Oryzias latipes: one gene and its partners. The protein of the gene in region 3 interacts with the protein of the main gene of each other region in a pairwise test. Links are inferred from orthologs where the notes say so. Each region holds a gene or a part of one and is shown on either strand. Other genes may lie near its edges. The genes, in order: arih2, exoc7, disc1, utrn, ppp5c, fryl and srgap3.

Evidence for each region.
Region 1: the proteins of disc1 (region 3) and arih2 interact in a two-hybrid assay, tested with the Homo sapiens proteins (2 studies listed by BioGRID and IntAct). The link is inferred for Oryzias latipes from reciprocal best matches to the Homo sapiens genes DISC1 and ARIH2.
Region 2: the proteins of disc1 (region 3) and exoc7 interact in a two-hybrid assay, tested with the Homo sapiens proteins (2 studies listed by BioGRID and IntAct). The link is inferred for Oryzias latipes from reciprocal best matches to the Homo sapiens genes DISC1 and EXOC7.
Region 4: the proteins of disc1 (region 3) and utrn interact in a two-hybrid assay, tested with the Homo sapiens proteins (2 studies listed by BioGRID and IntAct). The link is inferred for Oryzias latipes from reciprocal best matches to the Homo sapiens genes DISC1 and UTRN.
Region 5: the proteins of disc1 (region 3) and ppp5c interact in a two-hybrid assay, tested with the Homo sapiens proteins (2 studies listed by BioGRID and IntAct). The link is inferred for Oryzias latipes from reciprocal best matches to the Homo sapiens genes DISC1 and PPP5C.
Region 6: the proteins of disc1 (region 3) and fryl interact in a two-hybrid assay, tested with the Homo sapiens proteins (2 studies listed by BioGRID and IntAct). The link is inferred for Oryzias latipes from reciprocal best matches to the Homo sapiens genes DISC1 and FRYL.
Region 7: the proteins of disc1 (region 3) and srgap3 interact in a two-hybrid assay, tested with the Homo sapiens proteins (2 studies listed by BioGRID and IntAct). The link is inferred for Oryzias latipes from reciprocal best matches to the Homo sapiens genes DISC1 and SRGAP3.

The regions. Positions count from the first base shown.
Region 1 is NC_019865.2:6,526,293-6,531,110, reverse strand, and holds the start of arih2 (E3 ubiquitin-protein ligase ARIH2), read right to left. Parts: upstream 3,201-4,818; 5' UTR 3,070-3,200; intron 1,114-3,069; 5' UTR 830-1,113; coding exon 572-829; intron 1-571.
Region 2 is NC_019877.2:22,410,237-22,415,067, reverse strand, and holds the start of exoc7 (exocyst complex component 7), read left to right. Parts: upstream 1-1,883; 5' UTR 1,884-2,034; coding exon 2,035-2,094; intron 2,095-2,238; coding exon 2,239-2,304; intron 2,305-2,877; coding exon 2,878-3,062; intron 3,063-3,135; coding exon 3,136-3,241; intron 3,242-3,363; coding exon 3,364-3,586; intron 3,587-3,959; coding exon 3,960-4,127; intron 4,128-4,831. Other genes in the region: tvp23b (Golgi apparatus membrane protein TVP23 homolog B), read left to right, coding at 1-2, 155-280, 355-483, 564-590. UniProt on the Homo sapiens protein: Component of the exocyst complex involved in the docking of exocytic vesicles with fusion sites on the plasma membrane.
Region 3 is NC_019873.2:28,417,887-28,421,966, reverse strand, and holds part of disc1 (disrupted in schizophrenia 1 protein), read right to left. Parts: intron 2,647-4,080; coding exon 1,778-2,646; intron 733-1,777; coding exon 663-732; intron 1-662. UniProt on the Homo sapiens protein: Involved in the regulation of multiple aspects of embryonic and adult neurogenesis. Required for neural progenitor proliferation in the ventrical/subventrical zone during embryonic brain development and in the adult dentate gyrus of the hippocampus.
Region 4 is NC_019882.2:8,831,536-8,835,615, forward strand, and holds part of utrn (utrophin), read right to left. Parts: intron 2,803-4,080; coding exon 2,710-2,802; intron 2,434-2,709; coding exon 2,261-2,433; intron 1,218-2,260; coding exon 1,102-1,217; intron 801-1,101; coding exon 640-800; intron 1-639.
Region 5 is NC_019871.2:3,339,694-3,343,773, reverse strand, and holds part of ppp5c (serine/threonine-protein phosphatase 5), read right to left. Parts: intron 3,448-4,080; coding exon 3,206-3,447; intron 1,081-3,205; coding exon 933-1,080; intron 857-932; coding exon 735-856; intron 652-734; coding exon 586-651; intron 499-585; coding exon 400-498; intron 314-399; coding exon 208-313; intron 121-207; coding exon 1-120. UniProt on the Homo sapiens protein: Serine/threonine-protein phosphatase that dephosphorylates a myriad of proteins involved in different signaling pathways including the kinases CSNK1E, ASK1/MAP3K5, PRKDC and RAF1, the nuclear receptors NR3C1, PPARG, ESR1 and ESR2, SMAD proteins and TAU/MAPT.
Region 6 is NC_019862.2:1,256,929-1,261,008, forward strand, and holds part of fryl (protein furry homolog-like), read right to left. Parts: coding exon 4,018-4,080; intron 3,930-4,017; coding exon 3,830-3,929; intron 3,754-3,829; coding exon 3,585-3,753; intron 3,454-3,584; coding exon 3,194-3,453; intron 2,283-3,193; coding exon 2,142-2,282; intron 2,062-2,141; coding exon 1,893-2,061; intron 1,812-1,892; coding exon 1,727-1,811; intron 925-1,726; coding exon 812-924; intron 735-811; coding exon 584-734; intron 514-583; coding exon 410-513; intron 315-409; coding exon 132-314; intron 1-131. UniProt on the Homo sapiens protein: Plays a key role in maintaining the integrity of polarized cell extensions during morphogenesis, regulates the actin cytoskeleton and plays a key role in patterning sensory neuron dendritic fields by promoting avoidance between homologous dendrites as well as by limiting dendritic branching.
Region 7 is NC_019863.2:2,730,886-2,734,965, forward strand, and holds part of srgap3 (SLIT-ROBO Rho GTPase-activating protein 3), read left to right. Parts: intron 1-909; coding exon 910-937; intron 938-1,836; coding exon 1,837-1,939; intron 1,940-2,347; coding exon of another isoform or gene 2,348-2,378; intron 2,379-2,571; coding exon 2,572-2,632; intron 2,633-3,070; coding exon 3,071-3,148; intron 3,149-3,244; coding exon 3,245-3,379; intron 3,380-4,080. UniProt on the Homo sapiens protein: GTPase-activating protein for RAC1 and perhaps Cdc42, but not for RhoA small GTPase. May attenuate RAC1 signaling in neurons.

The DNA of each region.
Region 1 (4,818 bases), on a different chromosome or scaffold from region 3:
TTTTGAAAGAATATATATTTTTAATTTGCAGAAATACTAAAAACCTATAAACCCAAAATTGTTGACCAAAAAAAAAAGTTTATTTGGAACAGCTCCTGTTTTGAATTTGGAGTTTTAATTTTTCTGTTTCTCTCCCTCTCATCTTTCCATCAGCTTCAATTGGGGTCTTTTAGATTTGGCGGTGGGCCGTTGAGTCCACTGGTGACAGGACATGATTGACATCATGAGACAGAGGTTATGGTGACGTAATTTCTGCCCCAGTACATCATCTGTGGCCAATTGTAGTGCTAATGCCCCCTAAAGATTGGTAGATGAGAGGAGGGATGACACAGGAGTCAGCAAAACCTCTGTCACTAAATGTCAAACACGTCCCGGTAGCCAACAGGCTCAAAGCCACACCCCCACGTAAAATCAGGCTCAGCGCAGGAAAAAGAAAAGTCTGTACTGAAAAAACCTGATTACAGAGCCAGAAAAATGTTACGTTTTAGGGAAGAATAACAAAAAAGCATCTTCACCCAAAAACAACCTCTGCTTTTTTCCATAGAAACACAACAAAACATGCCCCACCCACCTTCAGTGCGGCAGCGACATTGTTCACTTCCTCCATCAGCACCCTCTGACTCTCTTTATACGTCAGACAAGTAAACTGATACTCCTCTGGGTCGAAGGAATCCGCGCTCTGTTGCTCCACATCACTGGCCACGCCTTCATAATAACCTGGTATGTCAACTTCTTCATCCACTCCATCATCCTCATCCTCCTCTTCAGAGTTCACCCCGAAGTCCTCTTCGTTGCTGTCTGAAGCCTGGCTGTTCATGTCCACGGACATCCAGTCGATTCAATCAACCACCCAGACAGGTAGACGACTTGCCTACCTGCCAGATCCACCTAGTTCAGGTGTAGCCTAAATGGTTGTGGAGCTCCACCCCCTCCCCCCTGCTTTCTTCCAGCAACTTGTCCACCTGGTGCCACTGTTAGGGGACACCCTGCCTTCCTGTCTGCCTGAGGCGCATATGGAGCGCGCTCAGCAGCAACGGAAAAAGCAGAAAAAGTCACACTCTCCGTCACTCATTTGGGCCACAGATTACTGCTCCGTCTGCAAAAGAAGGGAACCTGGAAAGACAAAGGGAAAACAGAGACGAGAGGGACATTTTTAAAAAGCCCTGAGTTCATCGGGACAAAAAAAAAAAAAAAAAAAACAACTGAAGCAAAAGAAAAAATTCCCACATTGTTTGTTAAACTGAAAAATAGTTTAAACTGGGTTTTATTTTTGTTTGATAATCTAAGAGTTTTTAGACTAGAAGCTCACACCATAAGGAAACTTCCACTTTCCTCTGTTGTTCTTCCTTTTTTCCTTCCTGTTTGCTGTTAAAACTACTGCTGTAATGTCAGCTTCAGCACCAAAGCGTGCAATACCCTTCAAAGGTAAAGACCCACTCAGATGAAAATGGAGCTGAGGCATTTTTCTCATGATAGAGGATAAAAATTGCTTCATTTAAATAGTTGTGAATCATAGTCAGTCGACAAAAATGCATGAAGCAGTGACATAGGAGCTGGAGTCAACTGGCCACAAGCTCCCCGATCCGCTCCATTCTGATGAAATCATTGCAGACAAATAGATCCATGCGGCTGTAAGCTAGGGTGGGAAGTGGCTCCATGCCAACAATTCCACCCACAACACAGAGGCAAATGTTTAATGAACTTTCATGAATTAGTGAAGCCCGTTGAGACAACTGTGTTATAATATTGGGCTATATAAATAAAACTGAATTGAATTCAATTTTGGATAAAAACAGCAAAGACAACTGGGAATACTTTAAAGGGTTGGCTGTAGTGGGGTTTTAGCCTACATCAACAACAAAAAAACAAAAATGTGGATTTAAAATGATTTGTTGATGCAACATGTAAACACAGGCCATTAATCAGGGAAATTAAAATATCTGTGGAAAACTAAATTCAAATCAAACATTTTGTAACTGTGGTTTCAATCTTAAAATGCAGAATAACAAAAACCACATGGAGTCTGGAAGTGATGTGACTGCGGCTGTGAGGAATAAACGCACAAACAGAAGAATATTACAAAACTAAAGACACACGATAGCTTTGGGACTGTGTTGTAATAGCAAACAGCTGATGGATTACTCAAGCTTTTTTATTGCATTTGTCTTGTAAAAAGTTACTGACTTTTACATGTCACTCATCGGATGTTGTGGATTTTCCACGCCTCGTTTAGCCACAATCTGACCTTAAAGAAGCACAATTTATAAACAAACTAATTTTGGTCTCTAAAGCTTTGCAGCTCAGGAATTCATCTTCAGTTGTGAGTTTTACAAACCCCAACAAAATTTCCAGATAATACTAAAATCTGTTGGTGGTAAAACTGGGAAGTCAGGATATAAAAGCAGAACTATATTGCACAAAACAAAAAGCTCTTATATAATGATTTAATCAAAGTCAGCTACATAAAGACACACGATCCCAGCGGAGGGATACATTTACAAATATTAAACTCTGTACTTCGGAAAAGCCTGCCAGCCGTCCGACAGACGTGCATTCCGCTGAAGCCAGGTTAAAAATAGGCAACTAACTGGGTGACACACATCTTGCCAGGCAAATGGAACACAATCAACTCGGGTTAGATAACGTGTTTTGAAACAAGTCTCGGAATGGGATTCAAGGAGTTTGAAAGCCTGCAAGCGGAGAGCATTTATTCCGACACTTCACCATAAATGAGCGAAACTCCCTCGCTAGCCGGATTAGCTTCCAGGCTAACGAGATAGCAAGTATGTCAAGCACATAAGTAGCTATTATTACACCAAACACATAATTACAACCAGAATGTTTTGCAAGTCGCAATTACAGATAAGAAAAGGTTTTCTCCCCTACAAATAAGCTGAAGTGGTCAAGAATCTGCAAAGCCTCATCACCCACTCTTGCTAAGCCTCCGCCTCTCATTACTCTAGTCCGGGGACAGAGATGTAAACAAGGCCCTTAGCAGCCCGGGAGTGAACACACACATTTAAAGGGCTGCCGTCTGCGTTTCCAGCGTTTCAAGTTCACGATGTTTACCTGCTGGAGCACAGCTGCGCGGACTTTCTGTGACCACTATGAAGGACTTTTCATGAGGGGAAATCTGGAGAGCGATGTTCACCTGTGTGCTTGCCTGTTTAGCGGAAGATAGACTGTTGGAGGTGCTTATCAGTGACGTCATGTCCGCCCCAGCCTCCTCCTCCTCTTCCTCCTGAAGGAGCCCATCAGCAGTAACCATAATTTGGTTGCTGACATCTGCAGTGCTTTCCTGTTTTCTGTTCTTTAGGGCTCAACCTCACAGAAAAATAAAATAACTTATATTACTTCGGTTATATTTCGGAATCTGAAAGATATTTTCATTTGAAAAATTGCCCGATTCTCTTTTTTTTTAATTTATTTCTAAGCATTTTTTAAAAACTTTATTGTGTAAAACAGAAGTACAATACAAAACACAATTTTACAAAATAAAATTCAAATATGCCAGGGGAGCATACATATTAAATACATTTTACATAAAAACATTCAGGTTTCTGCAACTTTCATATAGACATACAGCTTTCTGATTAAGACTCTTGGAGATGTTACTGATATACATTTCAATTTGTTTGATTAAAACAGGGAAAAAAATAGAAGATGAAGAAAATTTACATTTATGTATATAAAATTTGCCAAAAATAATAATAAGATTAATTATGAGTTTTTTATTTGAGTCCAAATTTTTATTATGAAGGCCAAAAATTATATGTTCAAACTTTAGATTAAAGTTGGGGTGAATGCGATTTCTAATAAATTGTAAACATTTTTTCCAAAAGATTCTAATTATAGTACAATTCCAAAAAAGTTGGTTAATTGTTTCTGGATATTCTTTGCAAAAAGTACAGTTAGGGTCAATTGTTTTAATGTATTTAGCATAAATTGATTGGTGCGGTAAATTTTGTGAATTATTTTAAAAGAAACTTCTTTCATTTTATTATTTATCATAAATTTTTGGGTGACACTCCATCCTTTCTTCCAGATGCTGTCGGGAACAAAACGTCTCCAGTAGGTTTTAGTACACGGTACAGAAATGACATCCCTTTGAAACAACACACGTATTTTTTTGTTGTTATTCTTGTGTGTAGGGGTAAAACAAATTTTTCCTGTGGTGGTGGCAGTTGCATCCATAGAGGGCATTTCTTCGTTCGTAGCAGTTGTTTTAAACATTTGGCATATTTCTTTGGAAACAGCATCAAACACAATGGCATACTCTTTAGGAGTCACAACCAGATTATATTTAGTGTTGAATTCAGTAAACCTTAATAAATGCCCGTTCGTGTCAAAAATTTGGCTCACCAGTAGAATTTTTTTCTCAACCCAATGTGGAAAATATAAAGATTTATTCTTGTATAATAAATATTTGTTGTTCCAAATAAAGAAGTTATGGGGGGAGAAATTGTGTTTGTATAGAAGTGCCCATGCAAGAAGAGCTTGTTTGTGGAATGCTGATAGTTTAGCTGGTATTTTCTCAACATTGTAATGACAAAGGAGAAGAAAGTTAAGGTTGCCTAAGTTTGAAAATATAAAATCTGGAAATATATTCCAAATTGAAGTAGGATTTTTTAGGTAGGATTTGATCCAGTTTATTTTAAATGTGTTATTTAGGGTTGTAAAATCAAGAAAGTTTAGTCCTCCATTCTCGTACGAGTTCATTACCACAGATTTTTTTAAATAATGTATACGGCTTTTCCAGATAAAGTTAAATAAAATTTGGTCAACAGATTTTAATGTTTGATTGTCTACGTACAGAGA
Region 2 (4,831 bases), on a different chromosome or scaffold from region 3:
AGGTGGGGTGTTGCTCTTCATTCTTCCGCCGTTGGGTCTTTGACCTTCAGTGGCACTGACCTCTTGGACTGGATGATGTTGAGAAATGCAGTTGTTTCCTGTCTGCATTTCATCCACACATGTCCTCACTGTGAGAATATCTTGTGTCCTTCAGGGCTCTGGGAAGCAGCAAGTGTCCAACTCAGATTCTCGAATCTTTTGGCTTGGACTGATAATTTGCCCAATCATCTGGGTCCTATTTGCCTTTAGCACACTGTTTTCCTTCAAGATTAAATGGATGGTAAGACTTTGTTTCTTGTTCATTTTTGTATTCAGTCCAATAATAAAGCTGCTGTTCTCCTGTCTGTCACTCAGCCGGTGGTGATCATGGCTGTGGTGTTGCAAGGGGCCAACCTTTACGGGTACGTGCGGTGCAGAGTAGGAGGGAAGACCAACCTGAAGAACATGGCCACCAACTATTTTGGTCGACAGTTCCTGAAGCAGGTGAACTCATTTCTGGGGGAAATGCAAATGTCAGCGAGTCTGTTCCTTCTGTTTGTGTCTAAAATCTGTTTTCTCCTCAGACGCTGTCGAAAGAAGAGGAGTCGTAGGCTTCAGCTCTGCGACGAAGAACCCATACATCACACCTAATGCTGTGATCTATTCTTTTACCAAAAGGACACGTAGAAACATGTTTTAGTCCAGCCGTAGACGGGTTAGAACATGTGGCTGACTAAAGCCGTTGTCTGTGTTTTCCCAGCAATATACAGCTTCAAACCATCGCTACAGGTGGGACATGTTAATGGTACAACTTTACATTAGCATGTAGTGTATCGAGCCTTTTTGTTTGTCTCATGTTTTTAGTTCTAGTCACTTCAGGACAGCTGGAAGGCTTTGAGGATGGTTGTAAAACATGTTTCCTTTGCAGAACTTACTCCAAAGTATTCCAAGTCATTTGTAAATATGTAAGTAAGGATGCCGTATAAAGCCTTTTTGTGCAAATACATTTGTAACATTTTCCTGAAAGTGTGAGCTCTTATTAAAAATAAATCAATAAAAGTCAGTATTGGAGACGCTGCAGAATCCACTGAAGGAGCAGTGACTGCAGTTAGTCTGGAAGCATGAAGCCTCAAACTCCATCCCACTTCCAGAGTCAAAGTTAGGATCTGAGTTTCAAATCAGAGGATCTTTCTCAGTCTCTGGGTGGATTTTCTTTTTGTAGATGAGTTTTTTTTCCCAGTGTTATTGAAGTTGCTATCAGTCAGATTGTCGGGAAAATTAAACTGTGTTCAAAAATAGCACTCCTGAATGTTTTAACAATTCCTCAAGACATAAAGTACACAGTGATGCATAAAACAAGTAGATTAGTTCATGGAAACCTTTTTATCAAGCTGGCCTTTTAAGAGTTTTATGATTTACCAGATTATTTATCGCCGAATTCGTCTTTTATTATGATTACGCGTCTGTACTTTCCTCTAATTTTAGAAGTGCAACAGCGACGTCAAGCGGCCGGACTGCGCCATTGGTCAGGCCGTGACAATGTATGCCACATTATATAGAATTTTTGAAATGTAGTAGTTATTATGGGGAAATGTTAATAGTAGTGTTACTAATAACGCTTGAACGTCTGTTATCCTAAAAGCGGTGCGGGATTGAAGAAACGTTCCGCTTTGGACATACTCGGATGTGAATGAGAGGAACACACCGGAAATATGAACGAACTGGCCTTCACATTAAAAGCATTTATCCGATAAATTACACTAAATATATTTATTCAAATCACGCTAAAGTATATTATAGTTAAAAACTATATTATACAGCTTTTCTTCAAATCTGTATGTATTCGGGTCTGTTTGTTTGCTCTTCGATGCGAATCGGGTACATTATTTTGAAAAATCAAACCAGAAGTGACCATCCGGTTAGACGCACCCTCCTGTCTCCAGCTGAAAACATCAGAGGAGTTCAATGGTGGTGGTTTATATTCCGAGTTAAACGGGACGGTTAACTGCAGTAAGTCCGCTGGAGGCCTGAGCTCTGACGGGAATCAGCTCCAGGATGATTCCCATCGAGGATGCGTCCGCCAGGAAGCGGGAGATCGAGGAAAAACTGAAGCAGGTCGGTGAAGCGGAAGGAGCCTCTTCCCGCAGAACACTATTCCCTTTTATGTCCCCTTTCCTGAATGTCAACGTTAACCACTTTCATGTGCATTTTAGTCAAATGTAGTGACGAGTGGGCTGCCGGGTATCGGCTATGTTACAGGAACAAGAAACGCTGTCGTTCATCCGAGAAAACCTGGAGAAGAGCGACCAGCTGACCAAAGGGATGGTACGGCGGCTCCATGTCACGTGACTTTCTTCTCAACAGAGTCTATGCAGCTGCTTCGATGGGAAATAAGTGGTTTTATTCCGGCTCCTGATTCTTTAGAGAAGCTTCCACTAAAGAAGGACCAGTATGCCCTTCACTATGGGTTACTGTGATCTGAAAACAAAGGCGCGAGCTCAACGGCTCTTTCAAAATAAAAGTGCCGTCTTCCTGCCAAGAAGAAATAAATACATACTGAATTGCTTTGAATTTGATGAAACAGTTTAAACATTGATTTATCTGTCAATCTGTCATTCTAAAAAATGATATAGTTTGGAAAGCAGCATTTAGTTTTAGTAATTAAAAAACAAGAATGATGCAAAAAGATCTAAATAGTTTTTATGATTTACAAATGGGGTTCTTTTAAGTTTAAAGTTAAGATGGTTTTGATTTTGATTAATCAGATGTCTTAACGGAATCCATAAACAAGATCTGAGGCGTTATACTAGATTTTTGATTCTCATCTCAGAGGTGCCTTTAACTACCGTCGACGTCCTCCGGGAATCAACCTGCTGATCACCTTTTGTGCCTTGAAAGGTCTCCATCCTGTCTTCGTTCGAGAGCCGCTTGATGCAGCTGGAGAACTCCATCATCCCGGTGCACAAACAGACCGAGAATCTGCAGCGGCTGCAGGAGAACGTGGACAAGACTCTGTCCTGCATGGACCATGTCATCAGTTACTACCACGTGGCTAAAGACACCGACAGGATCATCCGTGAGGGGTGAGCAGCACCCCCTCCTGAAGTAAAGTCAAAGAAATGAGCCGGCTGTGAAAACGTGCATGCTCTGTCGCAGACCTGCCGGCAGACTGGACGAGTACCTCGCCTGCATCGCAAAGATTCAGAAAGCAGTGGAGTACTTTCAGGACAACAACCCCGACAGCCCTGAACTTAACACAGTGGTACAGTATCAGCCTTTGTCTGTACATGTATGACTCTAAAAAAAGAAGAATAAATGAACCAAGATTGCATTTTGAGACTGAGTGAGATTCAAGTAACTCTCCAAAACGTTGATGGTCTGCAGAAAGCGCGCTTTGAAAAGGGCAAAGAGCTGCTGGAGGCGGAGTTCCGCGGCCTCCTGACGCGCTACAGTAAGCCCGTTCCCCCCATCCTCATCCTGGACACCATCAGCGTGGACGAAGAGCTGGAGGTGCAGGAGGAGGTGGTGCTGGAACACCTCCCTGAGGCGGTGCTCCAGGACATCATCTGCATCACCGGGTGGCTGGTGGAGTTTGGACGTAACCAGGGTAACCAGGACGTAACCAACCTCACAGGCTTTCTTTTTCCAGACTTCTGTTGAACAGTTTTCACTGCAGTTGGAGGTCAAGGTCACAGATGTGTTAGGATTCTTTCCTCAGAGTTCAAAATGAGTTTGAACTGGCTGTTGTTTTGTGTTAAGTGTGACGCTGTGATGCCTGGCTCATGCTAGTTTAGCTAATCGATGCACATATGTGTCCCAGTACAGTAGTGAGGCCTTTGGATCTTCTACATAGGCAACCATGTGATCAACCAAAGCCCAAGTATAATGTTAAAAGTGATCAAACACGTGAGAGTTCAACAGAGGAGGAGATTTTTTAAGAGGCAGATTGTAAACTCTTCTTTTGTTTTTGTCTTCCTCAGATTTTATGAACGTCTACTTCCAGATCAGGTCCAACCAGCTGGATCGGTCCATCAAAGGCCTGAAAGAGCATTTCCGGAAGAACAGCGCCTCCTCTGGGGTCCTCTACTCGCCCGCTGTCCAAACCAAACGCAAGGACACGCCCACCAAAAAGGTTCCCAAGAGACCAGGTCAGCAACTCACAGTTTTCTTCTGCCATCCTCCGCCTGCAGTCACATAACCGCACGACCGAGTTTTGGGGCCGGTTTACAAACCTGTTTTTTTTTAATTTAAATTTATATATATATATACTTACGAGACAAAAAAGTAATAAAGTAACGAGACAAAACACGAAAGTTCTCTGCTTATTGGAGCCGTGCATGAAGATGACAGATGTGGAGCATTTTGTGAAGCTTTATTTCCGGCTAAGTTTAAAAAAAACAGAGAAATTCTGAACATTTTGGCGACATTGAAGTTGGACAGCTGCAGGGACACCGACGTCTTCATCAACGTCTGCAGATATCCTGCAAGGCCCCCCATCAATGGATTAAACATGAATTAATCGTAAATCAAACAAATGGAACATAATCAATAAACATCCGCTTTGCTGCTGCGTGACGTTCACTTGCTGCACTGAATGCTCACTTCCACTTTAATCTCGTAAATTTACGACTTTGAATCTCGTTATTTTCCTTTTTTTTTTTTTTTGTGGCCCTAGAACTCCGTCGTATAACAGAGACGTGAAATACATGTGAAAATGTGGCGTCTGTCAGGCGTTTGCGCCTTTTCTGCACGTGGCGCTGAATTCCATCCAGCCGCCTCGATATAGCCGTTTGCTCCTTAACTGTCCTCTCTAACCATCCTCTCCTCTTTCCTCGTTTCCTGTGCTGTGATG
Region 3 (4,080 bases):
GCTTTTATCTTGAAGAGAATTTAGATAAATGTGGGTTTTTAAAGGTGCAGAGACATTTGGTCATAATCCACATAAACATTTAGAAAAATCCAAAACTTCATTTTAGGAAAACCCCTGACATAAAGTGTTATTAAGCACAGTGGAGGAAGTTTTATAACATGGGCAAACCACATGACCCCTCCATTTTATTGTAAACAAAAACCATTTAGAGACTGATGTTTGGCTGGAAGTGGATCATGACAGCGCTCCGGATCAAAGTGTTGCTCTGACCCAGTCACAGTCCTGACCTGACCCGGAGTGACACGTGGCCTCAGACGACCCGTTCAAACAAACGCCTGCAAGCCTCAGTGAGGTTGGTTCAAAAACCGTTTTTAGCTGCAGGTCTTTTATCATATGTAACATGTTTGGATTGTGCCATGTTGTTAAATAACGCAGTAGAGCCCAAAGATCACGAGTGTTAAACAGATGAATGTTTGAATCTTGACGGTCCTTTGACAGCTGGGATTTCTGTCATAATCGCTCTGCAAACACTTCCTTCCACTCCGACAACTTTAATGGGAAAATCTATAAACACACGCAATGGTGAAATAATGGCATGCAAGCAAAACGTTCCTCATAAAACGCTTGATTCAGAGGGTTAAAACGTTGTGTTTGGCGTTCACCTGCGTCGTAGTCGTCGTCCAGAACGGCTTTCTGCTGGAGCCTCTGCAGCTTCAACATCATGGACTCGATCTGAGGCGGAGAGAAGAGACGGAGACATCAGCCCACAGGACGCCGCCCACAGGGAACGGGACAAGTACAATGACCGTCATTCTGTCAGAAAGTTCTGCTGCTTTTGGAGATTTTAACTTATGAACATAACTTTATGCTCTGCTCCATTCTCTTTTTTTTTAAATCAAAAGTGTGATTTTTTTTTTAACTTTCTTCCAGTTTTTAACACAGATTTTGAAAATAACTTAAATGTGTTTAATTAATGACAAATGGTCCAAACCTTTAATTTTATAAACGTTTGTGTTTTATTTTGAAAGCCAGACCATGACCTTTGTTGCTCATCATTCCATTTCCTGTCGGGCTTAGCTTTGAACAAGATATTTAAGGTGGTTGTTTCTAAATGTTGTCATGACCTTCACATCCATCTGACCTGAGCCATCACGGACCGAAAGATTCAAAACTTTAACTATCTGCGTCCCACAGCCGTTCTGGACTGAAGGACCAGATTGTTTCTGCAATTTTTCCTATTTACTGCATCTTTGAAGAAAAGTTTTCGCTGAGCTGAACAAAACTATATGACATACGATACAAACATATCAGGAATGTGGGCGTGGCTAACAAAATACCTCTGTTGCCAAGGAAACCCAAAAATTTACTTTTAGCGATCCTTCTAAAATGCACATCGACCTGTTCCTCCCCCCCGGACGATCAAATAACTAAATGGTTGCTATGGAGATGAAACAAATAGAAAAGCCGCCATTTTTGAAAAAAAGTGCTTTTTTCTTCTTCTCACATGCAAGTTTGACTAGGCTGGCAGAGGCATGAAAGGAGAGGGAGGGGCTTGTAGCAGCCACTCAGCCAATGAGGGAGGGCTAAACCATACTACACCACTCGCGGCTTTAAATGTAATTGCTTTTTCTCTTTAGCGCACTTTAGCGCCATGATTTATTTGATTTAATGATCTGAAACAGTCTACAGAACATGAGTTCTCCCTCAGCAATGACAGCACTTTAAAGTGAATGTGTTTGAAGTCTCTGCCCCCCTCAAGAGGATCCGCTATGCCCACCTTTGTGTAGGCGCGGTTGTTTCGGAGGCAGGCCTGCAGCACGCCCTCGTACTTCTTCACCACGCCGTCCCAGCCCGACTCCAAGCCCGCTGTGGCGCTCTCGTAACCGGAGGTGAAAGAGGAGGCTGAGGCCGTGTCTGAATCCACCGACAGCGAGGAGGTGACCTCCACGTCCAGAGGACGGGGCTCGCAGTCCAGAAGGTGGGAGGTCTCCTCTTTACCGTAACACTGACTTTCCCGCCAGAGCCTCCCTCCTGACGGCAGGTCCTCCTTCTGTGCGTGGCCGGGTGAAGAGTGGACAGGAAGCGAGAGCTTTAAGAAGTTCTGCTGGGAGTCAGGTTTGGGTTGTGGTCCTTCGGGGGCTTTGGTAGGTGGTTCTGGTTCCTGTAGTGGTGCAGCTGAAGAACCGGTCCTCTGACTGGAGCTGAGCGATTGCTGAATGAAACTGAAACTGGACGTGAAAGAGTCTTCTGCTGAGGTCTGGGGAGCCGGCCTCAGCCTTAAGCTGAGCTCATCATGAGGCTCTGAGGTCAGACCCAGATGGTTGGATGTTGCTGGAGCAGGATGGATGTCTGCAGCCGGGCCGAGGACGCCCTCACTCCTCAAACCCGTTGGTTTATTAACCATTAAAGCAGGAGCTGGACTCAGTCTTTGAGCTGGAGGGCCATGGGTGACGGCGGTGCTGCATCCACAGTTTCCATTCCCAAAGCAGCCGCTTATCGCCTCTTCCTCCTCCTCCTCCTCCTCCTCCTCTTCCTCCTCGGTACCTGCAGAGCTCAGCAGCCTGGACTGCTCTCCTCTCATGTAGCCTGGCTTTCGGTGATGCCTCTTTCGCCCAGAGCTGCCAGCTGTCGCCAACGCTCTGCCACCTGTTGATACAGAGATTAGGCGTTAAGCTCCGCGACAGGAGGAAGATGAAGAGTGAGCTCACGGGCGGGAAACGCTGGATCTGCAATGAAAGGAGAGTTTAATAAAAGACAGTAAGAAAAAAGCATTTCAGTCAAGTAATAGCAAATTTCTTCAAGAAGCTGGAACAAACAAGCAGCCATCACCTCCCAACTCCTTGAGCGTCATCGGGAAGCTTCACGGGGGAAAAAATGTTGGTTTTAAAGTTTGTGTTAGCGTGGCGAGGTCACAAATTTGGCGTTCCCCTGTTGATCGCATATTTTTTACCGAAATATTCTAAAGATTTTAGACAAATGGTCATTGGCTAAAGCTGAACGAAACAATATTTAATACCTTACGAATATATGAGGAATGTGGGCGTGGTTAACCAAAAACTTCAGTTGCCAAGGAAATCCGAAAAAGTACTTTTGCTGATACTTCAAAAAATATTACACAGACCTGTTTGTCAACCCTAGGCGACCAAAAACGTAAATGGTTGCTACGGAGATAAAACTAACAGATAAGCCGCCATTTTGAAAGAAAACGCGAATTTGTCCCATGCAGCTCTGACCAGGGTGGTGGAGGCAAAAGGGGGAGATTGAGGGGCGTACAGCAACCGTTCAGCCAGTGAGGGTGGGTCAAAGGGGGTAATAGGGGGCGGCGGGGGCAGGTAACAGGCAAACAACATCACTCCCACCTTTAATATTTTGTTTACACCTTCTTTTTCTTCCGGTGGAAACATTTTGACCTATTGATAAATTCTAATTTTACCCCACAAATCTCCTTACATATTTTTTTCAGAATGTCAGTCGGCATTGTTCTATTTAGTCTACAGTCATGGACACAAATTTTAGTTTTCTCAGAGTTAATAGAATTCCAAGCACTTCATACATTTCAAAGGCTTTTATGGACAATTCCATGACATTTATGCAAAGAGTCAGTATTTGCAGTCTTGGCCCTTCTTTTCAGGACCTCTGTACTCCCACTGGGCATGCTGTCAATCAACTTCTGGCCCAAATCCTGACTGATAGCAGCCCGTTCTTTCAGAATCACTTCTTGGAGTCGGTCAGAATTAGTGGCTTTCTGTTCGTCCACCCGCCTCTTGAGGATTGACCACAAGTTCTCAACGGGATTACGATCTGGGGAGATTCCAGGCCATGGACCCAAAATGTCAACAGACATGCCGCCTGACAAGGAAGACGTTGTTCATCTTTACCCTAACTTTGTGTGAAATGTGTTTCATGCATAACAGATGGTACGCTCCACTGAAAACAAATGATCACATGACTAAAACGGAATAAAACAGGCCTGTTCCACATGACAGATTTTTTTTATCAATGGTTTTATCTGAAAGTAAAAGAAAAACACTGAAAATCTTTGAGCAAAGCTTAAAGTAGAAGACCTTTTTAAAAATGTGC
Region 4 (4,080 bases), on a different chromosome or scaffold from region 3:
CAAATTTTACTGTGTATAAATAAAGCATAGCAATATTTTATTTTATTAAAGCAATATTAAAGCACTTCATACCTGTGTGCAGAAATAAACAATCAAGTGTTTTACAAGTTTCAAACTGTAAAATTGATTTACAGAGCAGTTAAGTTTTATTCAAACCATCTATGAATAATATAATAATATTATTATTATTATAATCTATGATTAATTGAGATAAATAACTTTAAAAAAAAAGTACTCTGAATTTGTGCTTAATATTCCCTTCACTAAATGTTCTTGCCCACTTATGTATTTTTTCCAGTTAATTTCGATTTTTGAAACATTGGTTTGCATTAATATCAAAATCATGAAGAGGTTAGCTGCAGTTGTGTGTCAAAAAAAGGCTTATTTTGGGAATTTGTTACTGATTTCTTGGTTCATATATTTTTTGATTTGTCTTTTTTAAAACAGACTTGTATCTTTTACTATTTGTATTTTTGTTGATATTCATTTATTCCAAATAAAAGCGTGCCTCTGTGGCTGTGTGCGACTTTTTTCCAGACTGTGCGTGTACGGCAGAGTGATTCTCCCTCAGATGAAACCCAGTTTAATGTGGCCAAAGGCCTCTTCCACCACATCCTCACATGGTTTGTTTTCCGTTACCTGCACACTGAGCCCTGGAACGGCGTCTTCGGTTTTAAATTTACGGGGTAAGGTCTCCACCTCTCTAATGGCATCCATGCTCACATCTTTGGGCAGCACAGCAAAAAGCGACGTCACGTACATGATGATGGACTTCTTGTCTGGTAGCTGCACTGCCACATCTGGAAAAAAAAGATGTGGATGGATGAAGAGAGGTATAAAATTGGAAGGGTGAGGACCCGACTTGCAACATTTATTACTGATTTAACACAACTAAAAGGCTGCAGGTTTGGAGCCCAACACTTCTTTAACCTGTTCCCTCCTTTGAGTTCATCCAGCTGCTGCCATCATATGAAAGTAAACTTCATGACATGCTGCTTTCATTTGTCGGAATCTTGGTCAAATAAAAAGCAACCTTCAACAACTCTGCAGTATAACCTTTCAAGCTAAGCAAAAGCCAAATGATGGAAGCGACAAATGTACCTTCAGGATCCAGGAGCCGTTCGATTCCCAGCTGATCTCTGGCTACAGTGAAAGCATGGTCGAGTCTTTCCATCGGGCTCAGTCTGACAACCTGATCCCAGCTGAAGGCTTCTGGCCTGTGGTTTCAACACAGTTAAGGGATGAAACATTTCAGAATAGAGCTGGGATTAAAGGAAATCTAATTATTTGGTTTCACTCATCTTCACTTACAAGATGTTATACTCATTTATTAAATCAACAAAGGTTTTTTCATTTTAAAAATATAGGCTTTTAATTTGGTAGGGGGAAAAAAGCTTTTAATTTAAAAATGATTTTAATAAAAATTAAAATCTAACCATGCGAATATACTCTATGAAATCAGAATCAGAAATCCTTTAATGTCATTGTTACACAAGAAGCTTGTGATAACGAAAATCCAGGTGCTCTCCAGCTGTTTGGACAATAAAAAAATAAAGTAATATACATATATGGAATAAAAAGAGAGAAATAGAACAATTTGTGGAACTATGGATAAATACATGGATGCTTACATGTATTGAAGATTTATTTCATAAATAAAAACCCAAAAACTGTTATTTTTTTGCAGCTAGATTTTCAGCTGTTCTGAGGTTTTTGCAGATGAAAATGTGGCGGGAGCGGCAACTATCGAGTGAGGAATGTGTGTGTTCAGTGATCCACCCAAAGCCCGGGCCCACGTTTAAACCAACAGTACGGTTCTCACAGCTCACAGGCCTGTGTGTGTCACTAGTAAAGACAAGGGGGTAAAATAAAAAAGACAGGGAGGGGGGGTGCATCCCTTACCCCCACGCCTTTTCTTTCACGCTCAACAGTGTAGGCGCGCGCACTCACAAAGCGTGAGCAAACAGTGACATAGCACGCCTAAACAGAACAAGACAAGCAGTGTGCACATGTGCACAAACACCCAGACCTCCCGACACCCGCAGCTCCTCTCCTTCATGGAGCTTTTTTTTTTTTTTTTTTTACTGCAGCCGTCGGACTCTTTACAGTTTGAGGATGTGATTTAAAATCCGAATCAAAGGGTACACGGCCAAGGTGCAGGTAAAATCCACCTCATACGCAAAGAATGTTGCAAACAAAACCCAGAAAAAAAAGAGGTTTTATGAGTCAGGCGGAAGGCGTTTGGGACATTTCTGCTCACCTGAAGTGGTGCAGGATGCCATTAAATGCCAGGCCGTCAGACCAACTTGTTGTGAAATTTAGTACATTGACTTCAGGGTACGAGCGTGTGCACTGTCGCACCCAGCTTAGCAGGATCTTTTCACTGTTGTTCTGCTGCAAATTGGACATGATGTCTTTCATGACGTCTTTCACCTACACACAAAAAAAGGGACACTTTATTACAGACAACTGAGTTTTTTTTAGTCCTATAAGCTGAAATCAACACAAACGGTAATGAAAAGCTGCAGCTCCAGCACAGAGTGTCAACAGCTGTTCCAAATGTCAGGCAGACAACACAGATGATGATTAGTATGTTTGCATGCAAGCATGCACTTTCCATCATCTGCTTTTTTTTTTTTTTTTTGTCATTGTCGGTACACAGGGAGTTAATGGAGCAATGGTGATGAGATGTTGTGTGAGTGAGCTCACCTGCCAGTGAAGGATAATGCTCCAGATGAGGCCCAGCGTCAACTTGTGGTTCCCATCTACGATATCTGTGCCTCCTATGTTTACCAGATCCACCTGGCGGACCGAAAAGAAATGAGTCAGACGGACACTTTGTCCTCTTTAAAGACTCTCAGTTTTAATATTTTTGTTATGTTAATAGAAGCCCAAGTTTCGTCTGTTGTGACTGTGAATTTTCACATTTTAAGGTAATTCTAAAGGAATTGCATTGTATGCATTTTATGCATTAAAAAGAACTGTCAAATCATTAAAGACCCACTCCCATGAAAATTGTGTTTTAAACATGGTCTTGCTGGCATTATTCAGATTATGGAGGATATATATAAAGAAAATTGATCTTAAAATTGCATTTCTGAGTATTTCTTTAATCGAATGAGGAGCACACACATAAATGCCATTGGATAGAGCTTGTACGTGTGACGTAGAAACTACTACGTCAAGCCACAAGCTCCCTGCTCCACTCCATTCTGATGTATCCACAAATAGATCCATGTACGTCCTGGTTTTCCTCGTATGAGCTGACATCTGGCTCAAAACTGCAGAGCTGGATAGGTCTGATATTGTTCGCCATTTTTGTTGCACCGTCAACGTTAGGTTGGGGTCATGAAGGGCTGTAAGCTAGCGTGAAACAAAAGCAGATGGATGTTGGAAAGAAGGAGCAGGCTTACTCTGCACCAATCGTCCCGCCCACAACTCATAGGTTAATTTCTAATGAACTGCCCCTCTGCAGAAACTATGTCTCCTCTTGTTATCACATAATGGTAAACACCATGGCCACCTAACCACATCATGTGAAAAGATTACATTTTGTTCCGGCTTTTAGTGTTTTCACGCACAATGCTTTTTAACCCAAGGTTACATCCGTTAATCGCTTCTGCTATGTGGCCACTGAAAAGTTTTTCACCTAAAGCAAGGATTCACTTAAACCAAGAGCCAAACTTGAGATAACCTTTCACAAATAAAGTTGGAAGGCTATCTGTTATTAAAAGACTATGCCCCTTTTTATTTGCAAGTTTAATGCTCAATAAATAAGGATAATGAGATTTCTAGCATTTTAGAATCTCTATAACTGGTTATTAACCTGGTTGGAAACATGTTTATCTTTGTTTTTATATCAAAACAAATGAATACTGTTTCTCTCTGCAAGTCTCTTGTGGTAACTTTGGGAACTGCATCGGGCAGTAATTTTTGCAGCTTCATTCAGGAAGTTAAAGAGTTCTGACTTTGGTGAGACTAAAAGATGATTTCTTTTCATACAAAGCTGCATGTATGCAGTCTGACTTTTATTTTAACAGTATTTTTTGGTTTTATTTCTTTTCTCTTCTTGTCTTTTAA
Region 5 (4,080 bases), on a different chromosome or scaffold from region 3:
GAGCGAGAGGAAGCCACTGGAAGACCTCGCTGAACAGCTGGAACATCTGCGCCGTGTACTTGGCTTTGACCTCCCCTTCAAACCCGTACATCTGGTTCATGTTGTCCGTCTCGTGGTTTCCTGAACACCGTACATGTCTGATTTAGTTCAGCGGAGGCGCGCGAAGGCGCGCGAAGGCGCGCGAAGGCGCTCAAAGGCGTCACGCACCTCTCAGTAGGTGAAAGTTGTCGGGGTAGAGCAGCTTGAAGCCAAAGAGAGTGAGGATGACCTCGAGGGAGAAGGAGCCGCGGTCCACAAAGTCCCCGTTGAACAGCTGAACGCCGCAGTCAAGGAAAATGACGCACGAGTTCTGCGTTTGACGACTCTGGGGCACGACGTGCCGCCGTGACGGAAGGATACGTAAGGGTTGGCGTCTGACGGTAAGCCGTTCAGCTTGAAAATGTTGAGGAGGTCGTAGTACTGGCCGTGGGTGTCCCCACAAATAGTTAACTTATCTGTCTACGAGGAAACAGGAGGTAAGGAAAAACAAACACCTTTAGAGAACTTTGATGCCGTTGACCAACCAATCAGGGACGTCCTCCTCACCTCCTTTAACGTGATTTCAACCAGACTGGGTAACTTCGACAGAACGTCTTTAACCTGCACCAAAATCTGAAGAAGAGGAGGAGAAAGACTGCAAACAGATGTGAAGGAACGCTGAGCCGGCGGGGGGCCTGAGGGCCGACCGCTCCTACCTGGTACGCACACTTCCTGTGCAGCTTCTTCTGCTCTTTGAACCACTCCATCATGTCCGTCATGAAGCTGACCGTCACCTTTCCATCCTCAAGTTTGGGGCCGGCATAGTCGTCCTCGATGGCTGCAACACAAAGTCACGTCATCTTCCTGCCCCGGCTCCTCGTCGCGTTAGTCTGGCCTCGGAACGGGAAACGTACTCATGCTCTCGATGTCCAGAGAGTCCACCACAGACTTTTTCGTCTCGTCGCTGGCGATGGCTCGCTCGAAGGCTTTCTGCTTCACGATCTTGTTGCACTCCTGGTACTTCATCTTGGCGTCCTTGTCGTTCGGTCGAACCCTCACGACCTGTCGCCACAAAGCAGAGACGGCGGGAAAATATGAGAACACGTTGTCCGGATGGAGCGTTTCTGACGTCTCTCCGCCGGGTTTGAAGGAGAAACAACTGCAGCTGCGTAAAAAAATATATAGTTGAAGCGACTTCACAGCATTCATGAATCAATGAAGCACCAGTTTAGATCAGCAGATCTGTACAACAAAATTTCATTAAAATAAATACCAGTGGAAGCGCTTTCTATTCTGGTTCTATTGTTAAATATATGAATGAACTCATCCCATGTTGCTCATGGGATGTCGTCACCCTCTGGTTTGGTAGCTGGTTTTGTTTTTGTCCTGCATTCTTAGTTCATTCATTTCAAACATTTTATAATAACAACAACAGAAAAATGGTTTTGTTTGGTTTGCTAAACCGAACATTAAAAATAAAACAAATAAAAGATAAAATAATACTAATAAAAAAATAAAATAAACCCATTATGTGCTAAACGATTAGCGGTAAATAAATAAATCAACACTAAAGAGAGCTTGTTGTGAGTCTGAGGGGGAGACGCTCAGCCTAAACGCCGTTTGATTGAACTCGAGTGAGTAAAATGTTGCTCGATTCTAGAGCAGTGCTGCCCTCTAACCCCCACCCCCCACCCTGGAGCCGCCCCGTGGGTCAATTGGTACCAGGGGAGGTAAAAAACAGAACAACTTTTTGGGTTTTACCTATCTTGTTCAATTCAATTCAACTTTATTTGTATAGCCCAAAACTACAACAACAGTCGTCTCGATAGGCTTTAGATAAATGTAGGGTAACATCAAATTTAAAAGGATCATGAACACACACAATTTAATAGAAACTGAACTAACTAAACTAAAACTGGACATCGCTGCCTTTAGACCCTTCTTGGCGGTAAGGAAAAACGGATTCTGGGAAAAAACGACGAAGCCTCCCCCTGGACAGACAGGCAATGCCAGAACTCCAACTCTACAACTACACTTATTCTACAGGAAGTTTTATTTTGAAACACTAGCGGATTCTCTCCATCAAATCTGTCTATGACGAATGTCAAGTTTCGCCTCGGTCAGCGCCGTCGCTCTGACCGCCACACTGAAACCCAGACTCTACAATGTACGACAAACTAATTGGAGACACAATTCAAGAAGACAAACTAACAAAAACACAAAAATAGCCGTTAAATTATGAGAAAGTATTCAAAATATTTTGAGAATAAAGTTGTATAATTATGACAAAAGTTATGACCAAAAAACTTGTTGCAAACTTAGAAGGTAGTAATATTAAAGGCATTCAGTTATTTTAAAAATATAATAACAACAAAATCTTTATGTTATGAGAATAAAGCCGTTTGAAAATGAATTCAACATTTGATGAGAATTAAGTCATAACTTTATGCTTCTAAAAGTTGTAAATTTACAAGGAAAAAGTCCCGCTCCTTAAATCATAAAATGTCTCATTTAGCTTTGAAAATATTTCAAAGACAAAGGAACATTAGGAGAAATCAGGCGGACATGAAACTGCTCAAGAATTTGGATGTATCTGCTTTCATTTTTTTGTTGATTTAGCGAGCTTTCTTTTTGAAAAAGTTGAGTTTTTGTCCGTGAAATTACTACCTTTTAAAAAATTACGATTTTATTCTTGTATTTATTCATATATATTTATATAAACAACCCCCCCCCCCCTTTCAACGCTCTGCGGGTGGTTTCTCCAATTTAGTAACAAATTGATACAGAAGATGAATCCAGATAAAATAAAACCAAAAAGTTTCTGATTTGTAGAAATTTCCTTTAGATTCATGAAAACTTGTGAAAATTAGGAATTTTCTTACAGCAAAGCTAAATTCAAAAACTTTACCCCAGCAAATATTTTCTGTGTTAAAGATAAATACACACAACGGGTCAAGATCCTAAAAACCAAACAGAAACTATGATGCATCTTCTTGCCCTGATCGATAATCTGAACCTAAACTGAATTAAAGTGCAAAATTGGCGCTCTATGAAAAAAGCCTATCATCAGAAATCATATAGTATACAGTTTATGCAATTCAACAGCTTTGTTTTATTAAACCTTCATCCTCTCACACTAAAGAGGATCAGGGTAGAGAGTGATAAACCTGCAGCATCCGTCACTGACCGTCTCATAGTCCTTCAGAGCAGCTTTGAACTTCCCCAGAGCCATGTTGGAGGTGGCGCGGCGGTAGTAGCCTTTAATGTAGTTCTTGTCCACCTCCAGGGCCTTGGTAGCGTCCGCCAGGGCGTAGCCATAGCACTCGGTGCGCAGGTAGGCCAGGCTGCGGTTGCTGTAGTAGATGGCGTTGGACGGATTGAGCTCCAAAGCCTCTGAGTAGAACTTGATGGCATTTTCATAATCTTTCTCTGGAAAAACACACAAATCCTCCAATATTATTTTCCTCCATAATTCTGTGCAGAACAAACATAAATGTTTAGTTAATTTAAAGGAGGAATTCCTGTTTTACTTGAATATTTGAAACAAAAAAACATCTAAATATTTGAGCTAATTAGGAACTTTAACCTTAAAAAAAGGAAATCTTTCCCCTCCAACATAGACTGACGGTGGTCTGAGGTTTTCAGTCGTTGAGCTGCTTGAATCTAAATATATTTTGTTTTAAAGTTTTTGGTTTTTTCCTTTTAAAGTTGTTTACATTTATTTTAGAAATAAAATTAGCCGGTGACACCCCAAAACCACAAAAACACAAGAATAGAACAAAAACACTCAATTTCACAAGCGCCAGTAGTTCAACCAAAGCTTCTTCACCACACAGTTAACTCATAAACAAAACTTTGACTTCACTGTTTAATGTTCACTACCAGCAAATGTTTTAAATTTCATGAGGGTTTGATAACATCTGCCTCAGGAACTGAATTAAAAAATAAAAGACGTGAAAAACGTGTCATTATTTAGAGATTTCTTTTCTAAAAGTCACAAAGTGACTCTTTTAAATACAGACCACAACAATAAACAGTACACAAAAGTCAGTCATCTGCTAC
Region 6 (4,080 bases), on a different chromosome or scaffold from region 3:
GACAAGACTGTCATTATTGTGAGAACACTTGCTACCACCCAGTGACCAACTCTGAAACTACAGCACTAACATCTGGAGGATGCTCGTCTTTCCTCCACTTGTCCACGCAGAGAGCTGAAAGCAGAAAGTACCTGTGAGCTTTAACTCTCGAGGTGCTGGCTTCACAGTCAGGACCTTTGGATCATTGCAGTCTCTGTTGCCTAACAGCACCATAGCAACAGACTGCATGCTGTTGCTTGCTGCCTGGACAACCAGCAGGTGAAGAAGCAGGCGTTTGCAGTGCTTGTAGACCTCTGGGTGATGGTGATCAAACCCTGAAAAAATGAGAGTTGATATTTGATCAGAAAACAAGCCTGTGCACTATATAAATGACTAATTAATTCAGGCAAGTACTGTAAAGACCGCTTACCTATAAATACAGCATGCAACAGAAGGTGCAGGTAGGCACTCCACTCTACTTTGACCCCATGGTCCACTATGAGGTCCGTCAGCAGGATGACTGCAATGTTACACCTGCAAACAGTTTGTATGTTTAACAGCACAGCTCACAACCAAGAAAACAGGGAACAGACATTCAGCGTACCTGTGCAGTGGCACAGCAGGAGTGTTTGCCTCTGGCAAATAGTCCACCAGTGGAGACCAGCAGCCACCTGAAGGCGGGAAGGGGAGAGCCTCTGGCTGGTTGTGCTCCATCACTTTCAACCGCCAATTTGCATAAAGTGGCATCGAGTCGCCTAAAAAATAAAAGACGGAATTTAGCAGAGATGCTAAGTAAGTGTTTGCCGTAGAGTCAGGAAGAGTTTGGGCTTACTTTTCTCGTCTTCATAGGAGCCCCCAGAGCTGCTGCTGTAACGAGACTCCAAACGGTGATGCTGGCGGTTGGGGTTACTGTTCAGACCACTGTAGATGTCTAGGTGAGTGTAACTGTGGAGCGAACGAGTTTGATTTATAATTACCACACACCCTAAAACGAAACACCTTTAAATCTAGAGTTTCACTTTGTTAAAGGCCCACTCTGATGAAAAGGGTGTTTAACATGTTCTTTTGGCATTTTCTGGTGATGGAAGACATATATAAAGAAAATTAAGCTTTCAGCTGCATTTCTGAATGTTTCCTTACTCAAATCACTGTGAATCAGGAGCCGACATAAAGATGCTGTTAGAAAAAGAGCTCATTTGTCATATAGAAAATATGCTCTGCTACGGCACGGGGAGTGTGTGAGGGGGGGTTATTCCACGTCAACAGTCCCGTCTACAACTCGGGGATGAATTTCTAATGCTGCCGCTCAGCAGAATCTACGTCCTAGATAACAACACAGGTTTTTTTTATCTTAATGAATCGACCACAGTGAAGACTTTTACAATAGATCAGAAGATGATCAGAGTTGGACTTTTTAAGTAGGGAAAAAGTCATTTTCAACAATATTAGATTCTAAAAGACAGATTTGACTCATTTCAGCATGACGATTTATTAGATGAGACATGTGGTCATGTTTGGTTCCATTTGTTGTTGTTTTAAAAATAATCTGTTTTAATTTGAAGAAAGATTTCAAAAGTTGTAGTAAAATATCTCTATAAAAGTCTGTTTAATGGCAAGAAGAGCTTTTAGTTCCATTGATGCCAATTATTGTTATTTATGAAAAAATATGAACACAGTGATGACTGCTGCTGTTCATTTCATTTTCTACGATCATAAGAAGAAGAAAAAGAAAAGAGTCCGGTTGAACCTTTCTTCCATGTTGGGGTCTTTCAGCTTGCCGTCATGCTGCCCTTCATTTCCTGGAACCATGGTATTGCTGCTGGATGTTGTTCCTGTGAGAACATGCACAGAATCTAAGGTATTGTTGCTGGGAACACGCATGTTTCTGCACAGCACCAGTAAGTTCTGCGAACCTGAGGTGACGGAGGGAATCTTGTAACTGGAAGTGATGCGGTAATAAGGAGGGTTGTCCATGTGTGTGATGGCTGAGCTGACAGGATCGGTCATCTCCAGCTCACACATCAACTCCTCCAACAGCTGCATAGTCTTATCTCTGCCCAGGTAAACCACCACACGTTTCACCTGGAAACACAGGCAGTGAATGAGGAGGGCATCCCAGGGCACAGGGCAGGGGCGGGGGGCATGGGGTGGCAGTCACTTACATAGGGCAAAAGGCTGGGGTCACTGCTGACTCCACACATGCTGATGAGAAACTGCAGAATGATTCGGAGGTTCTTTGGCCAGCTGTCTGCTAAAGTAGTCCAAACGTTCTCGATTTCCGACCAGGCAAACTCATCTCCGTACTATGATAACAAAACAAATATTCTGAGATCAGTCAGTCACAATAAAGTGAAGATTGAAAAATAACCAGCAATAGGTCCAATCCACAAAGCGGTCATCTGGATTTATTACAATTACAGATGTTTTCTTAGACAAACATTTTCATAGTTTTTTCTCGTTTAAACTCTCAAAGTTCAAACTTTGTAGAAAAATTAGTCCAGTATTGAAACTAGGAGTCCACCGATTATCAGTCAAGGATGATAATTGGACCAATATTTGGTATTTTGACGTATATCGGGATCAGTATTTTTTCAATCCGACGGGCCGATACTGAACTGGTTATTTTGGCTCCATTTTTTCATCTATGAGAAATACTTTCTTTGAAAAAAGGGAACCTTTTCTGACATTTTACTCTGAAGATTTCTTAGCTTTGGTGTCAGTAAAGCTTGTTTGATTAGTTTATACTTAAAATCCAACATTAATCTGGAATTTTACAGTGATAATTACATTGCTGATGTGTGTTTACTATACTGTATTTGGAAAGATCGTGAATCTGCGTTTTTGGACATTACAAATATTCACACTGAATTTTTTGGGAACAGATTGATAATATTTGGCTCTTTGGACAGTCGTTACAGCCATATTAGAATGAAACCAAAAATCTGCTCATGATCAACTATTTATCTGGATGTGTAGGAGGTCTACATCCAATCAGGACGCACAACACAATAAGCTGTTTAAAAAAAAAAAAAGCTAGCAAATTTACATTAAAATCATCTGTGAAACAGCAAAATTAGGTTGTGGCAAAGGATAATAATAACTGTAGCGCTGTCATGCAATCGATAAAAAAATATTTAAAAAAACGGGTTCGTCTGTAACTATTAACCGTGATTAAGATGAATGTGTGAGTTGTTTGTCTTCTGGATGCGCTTACCTTTGCGGTCATAAACATAAGATTGTTCAGCACCATGGTGGTTGCACGAGGAGACCCCCAGCCCTCTCCTCGGAGCCACCGGCGACTGTTGACCATCACAACGTCCTGCTCCTCCTCCTCCTCCTCTGCACTGCTGACTTCCTCAGCCCGCCGTGCCGGTTTTAAGTCAACCAGCTCCACATTGTTCATCCACGGTAGGAGATAGTGTAACATCACCTGTCGACCCCCGGGATGTGCCGTCTGGATCCGCTGGCTCACCTCTGAAGCAAAAGCAGGGTTTTACACTTTTTTTAAAAAGATTACAACAACAGCGCAGAACAATGCTGTCTGGCTGAGTGGTAGAAACTCAACAGACAGTTGGACGCATGCAGAGCCATGCGTCTCAGCACACCTGAGAAGATGGGCAGAGTGAGCTCTGGGTAAGTCCTTGCAAGCTCCTCAGACAGCTGGTAGTACGACACAGAGTAGAGGTGAGGCAAAGGCGATGGTGGCGTCAGGATGCTGTCCATCCGCTGGATCTCCAGTTTGTGGGCATAACGGAAGAGCTTTGGCTCCAGGATCTGTCAAGTTTGACACATTTTCAGTGAGCCAAGGCCAGGCAGCCTTTCCCAGTGTGCAGATGGCATTTGCACTGACCTGCAGCAGCTGCATGGCCACCTCATAGATTTCTCTGGAAGAATCTGCTGCCTTAAAAAGAATCAGGTTCAGCAGCACCACAGTGTCAAACTGGTAATCCCTGAAAGAAAAGCGACATGCTGTTCAAATATCGCGCTTTACAGGTGGATGACCTACAAAGAAAACAGTCAAGCGGAAAAGCGAAGCACCTGTTGTGAAAGACGTGAGCGATTGCTCTGAAGCAGCCGGCGGCGACGCGGCGTGAGCCGGTG
Region 7 (4,080 bases), on a different chromosome or scaffold from region 3:
ACCATGTCTGTGTGTGTGCATGCATGCGTGGGTGTGGCCATGACAGCACGAACAAGATGAGACTGGAAAGTGCCACATGGTGTTTACATCTTGCTGCATGTATTAATAAAATCATAATGTCGTGCTCTGGCAGCAGGAAAGGTGTAGTTTATAGATTAATCAGCCTTGCCTTTTAAATGAAAGCTCATTAGTGTGTTCCTGGAGATGTTTTCTGTAGAATAATCAAAGTTGGAAGGGCTCGCCGTTCCTCACCTGCCAGCTGCAGACCTGGTCTCATCTGCCAACTGTTTTCTTCAGAACATTTATTTTCATTGATGTTACAAATATTGTAAAGACCTACCGGTAATGTTGGAATATTTTGGGGTTATTCTGTCTTTCTTTATGATCACAACCCTGTTCTGCTGAACTGCCCTGTTTTGGCTGACAAAGAGTCTTCATAAAGACACACATCTTTGAACGGTGGAACCAGGATGCCGTGTTCTGCATAGACTGTCTTTGTGCAGGTCTCTATGAAATATGTGCATTTGTTGATGGGAACCCACACAATTAAGAGAAGCTCAGTGAACCGCGTAGGCATTGTTCAGTCTCACCAGTGACAGACCCTTTCCCGCTCCCGTCTGCACATACTGCAGCTGCCAACCCCCAATTTTCTGCTCAGGGAGGAGGTCAGAAGCTGTTGGGGATCCTCTGCATCCCCGGAGGCTCCAGCGACAGCGGCGGCTCCGTGGCTTTGTCCGGTGACCGGTTTTTAGAACATCTCTATTCTGCTCTGCCTCAATTGGGATGTTGTCTGTCCTTATTCTCCTCAGTACAACCCGTCACCGACCAAAGCCGGGGGTGGGGGTGGGTGGGGGTGTTCTTGACATAAAGGCAAAATCAAATAAAAGCTCTTTTATGTTTATTCCGCAGGGGAAAGGGCTGAGTGTGGAACCACAAGGTAAATTCCTGATTACGCTTCTTTTTATCAAATTTGTCACAGATTTTCAAACTAATCAGGTTTGAAACAACTAAAAGGCAGAGCGCATTATTAAAAGCCCACAAATAAACCTACACTGTTCATGAATTATTTTGAATATCTTTTGTCTAATTCCTGTAGGTTTGTGTTGTCATTTAGCATTTGGATTGATTTTTGTGAAGTTTAAAATAAGCAGTGAAAGAAGTATCTATTTTTTGAAGTGTATTGTGTTCTTTTGAATACTTTTGTTGCCTTAAAGCTTTTCAGACTCAGATTTTTCCTGGTTACTGTAGAGCTGGGGGGCTCACACTTTATTGGCATGTGAGCTACTTTTGAAATGATTCGTTCCAAAACATCTTTGAAGCGGATTCAAAGTAATTCAGACATTTTTTTGGAATTACAGTTGTCATTTTTCCTTCTACATCTTGTTGAACTGGACCTGTGTGTTCGTAGTTGCCATGTCAACAATGTCACAGCACACAGTGTGCCGACAACAGGAACGATCCGTCTGCGTATGCATCGCGGTTGTTTTTTGAGTTGATTGACATGTGGCCAGTCGAGGAATGAGAAAGCACATTAGCAGCTACATCCATGGTGACGTGTATATATTTGCAATTTACCAGTCAATGTGATCAGTGTACTTGGTATTTATTTTTTTAACCTATTGTCGGTAATCTGAACCCCGTTGAGGGGGGGCCCCCTGGTTCAGATTACCGACAATAGTTCGGTTTGTTCACAATGAATTTTCAATTAAATGTTTTTACTTTCTTCATGTCTTGACCTTTGATGTACTGTTTAAATCATAAAATGTGTGTTTTGTTATAGTTTGTAGTATAACAGAAAAATTGTGTTTTTGTCCGCCTTTTCCATCGTCTACCCAGGCCCCCAACTCTCCCCCCTAAACCACAGAAAATGCGGAAACCTAGGCCGTGCTCCATGAATTACCATAAGCTGTTTAATGGCAATATGGAGACTTTCATCGAGGTACCCCCTAGTGGAGGTGTATGTCTCAGCAGCCCCCACAAAGCAGGCAGTTATGCCGTTTATAGCCTCTGCCCTCGTCCCGCTCCGTACTTGAGCTTTCCTCCCTCTTCCAGCTCATTTGGCTCTTGATATACCGCCACTTTTTAACCTCTAATCCCTCTGCTTGCTTTTTTTCTAATGGACGCAGCCTGAGAGGAAATCACCTGCCGTTAATTTCCCTGCTGAGTTGACTGTCTGGCTTTTTCTTCTAAATCCAAACAGTGTGGAGAAATGAGAGGGAAACGCAGCAATGTCTATACTCTTACAGTCCCTGTGCTCCGCCTGCGTTAACCTCCTGAAAAGTCGTTTTAACTTTTCTAACTGCAATTCTCTGCTTCCTCTGCCTTGCTTTGCCGTTCTCTGTCCCAGAGGGAGAAGGAATGCCCGTACTCGCATTCAGGTACTGCTGTTGCAGGGGAAAACTAAAACTAATTGTGCTTGAATGGAAGTAACCTACTTTATTTTTCACCGTTTTTCCCATTATCTTTCTTTGCAAAGTTTTAACCAAGCAATTGATGACAATAATTATTGCATCTGTTGATTTATTTTTTGAAATTCATATCTGTTTCCTTTTTTTTTTTTTTGGTTTGTAGGATTCTGGTCAACCAATTCCCCCGGTGGTTGAAAGCTGTGTCAGATATATTAACCTATATGGTGAGTTTCCCCTACTGCTTCTCTGCAAAAGGAGCAGAAAAGAAAGAGTCTATAAACGCCTTTAACCTCATAAGCAGTTGAGTTAGCTGGAGATCACCGTGGAACTCTCTCCTTCCACAAGTAGTTTTAGTAGGTTGCACAGAAAAAGTTCTGCTACATCCAGGCCAGTCCCCCCCAGCTTTTCACATACAGCTTCAGCTTGGTGACTTACCCTTTGGGGTCTTTTTTCTGGATCTACATGCAATGAAAACTGATTAGAATGCTGTAACTGAAACCACATGCTGCAGCCTCAATGAAGGGCCTTCGCCTGAAAGAAACTGCAACTCCCTCCACGATAAGACTGAATTTCCTGTTCCAAACTATGTTTTGGGGGATTTTTATGGGATTTAGATGACTACTGAAGCTCAGGATCAGGACATTGTGGCTCTTTTTCATCAGGATTGCAACAGCAAGGCATATTCCGCGTGCCAGGATCGCAGGTTGAGGTCAACGACATTAAAAACTCATTTGAGAGAGGCGAGTGTGCACAGACGCTGTTACATCACCAACACAACACTGCACATCCCTGTAGGCTTTCAACAATTACTAACAAATGTGTTTCTTCCTAATTAGGTGAAGATCCACTGATTGATGACCGAAATGAGCATGATATAAACTCAGTGGCGGGGGTGCTGAAGCTGTACTTCAGAGGGCTGGAGAATCCTCTCTTTCCAAAGGAGCGCTTCTTGGACTTTATCTCCACCATCAGTGAGTCTATTGAAAACTTTCAAAAGAGTTTTGCTTCTGGCGAGATACAGAAAGAACCAAAATAAAGCGCAAACTAGAATTTGTTTGGAAGTAGAAAGAGACGAGGAGCACCACCCCAGCTTGCTGTGTGCATTTTGTACTCATGGGCAAACGGTGTGTACTTTGTTTGTGTGCGTGCCTGCATGTGCAGGAGTATGGGTGACATCATTTGTCATTTTTTTCATTCTATTTTGAAAGCTGGTTTCTACAACAGAGTATTAGGACCACCGTCATAAATTGTTGTAAAATTATAAGAAAAAAGTCAAAATTTTATGTGAAGGAAATTGTAAATTCCTGATTGAAAAAGTCTGCAAGAAGAAAGTAATGCATTTTTAAAAGAAGTTTTATTTTCATAAAGAGAGAAAGTTGTACGTTTACCAGAAAAGCAAAATAGATCAGCAAGATGTTTATCCCATTTCTCTGAAATGTCTGCCACATTCACTACACAGGTAGTGTTTGATTGACCTTTTCCTTGTAGATTCATGACATTTTGAACCATCAATGTGCAACTTTATTTTTTTCATGATTGTACAGCATCTGTCACATAATTATTATTACTTTCCTGTTGATGGGCTTGTAAAAGGATGTAACATAAAGGTAAAAGGAACAATTTAAATACCTCAGCAACTCAAAAACTGTCTCAAACCAATCTAGGCTGAAAA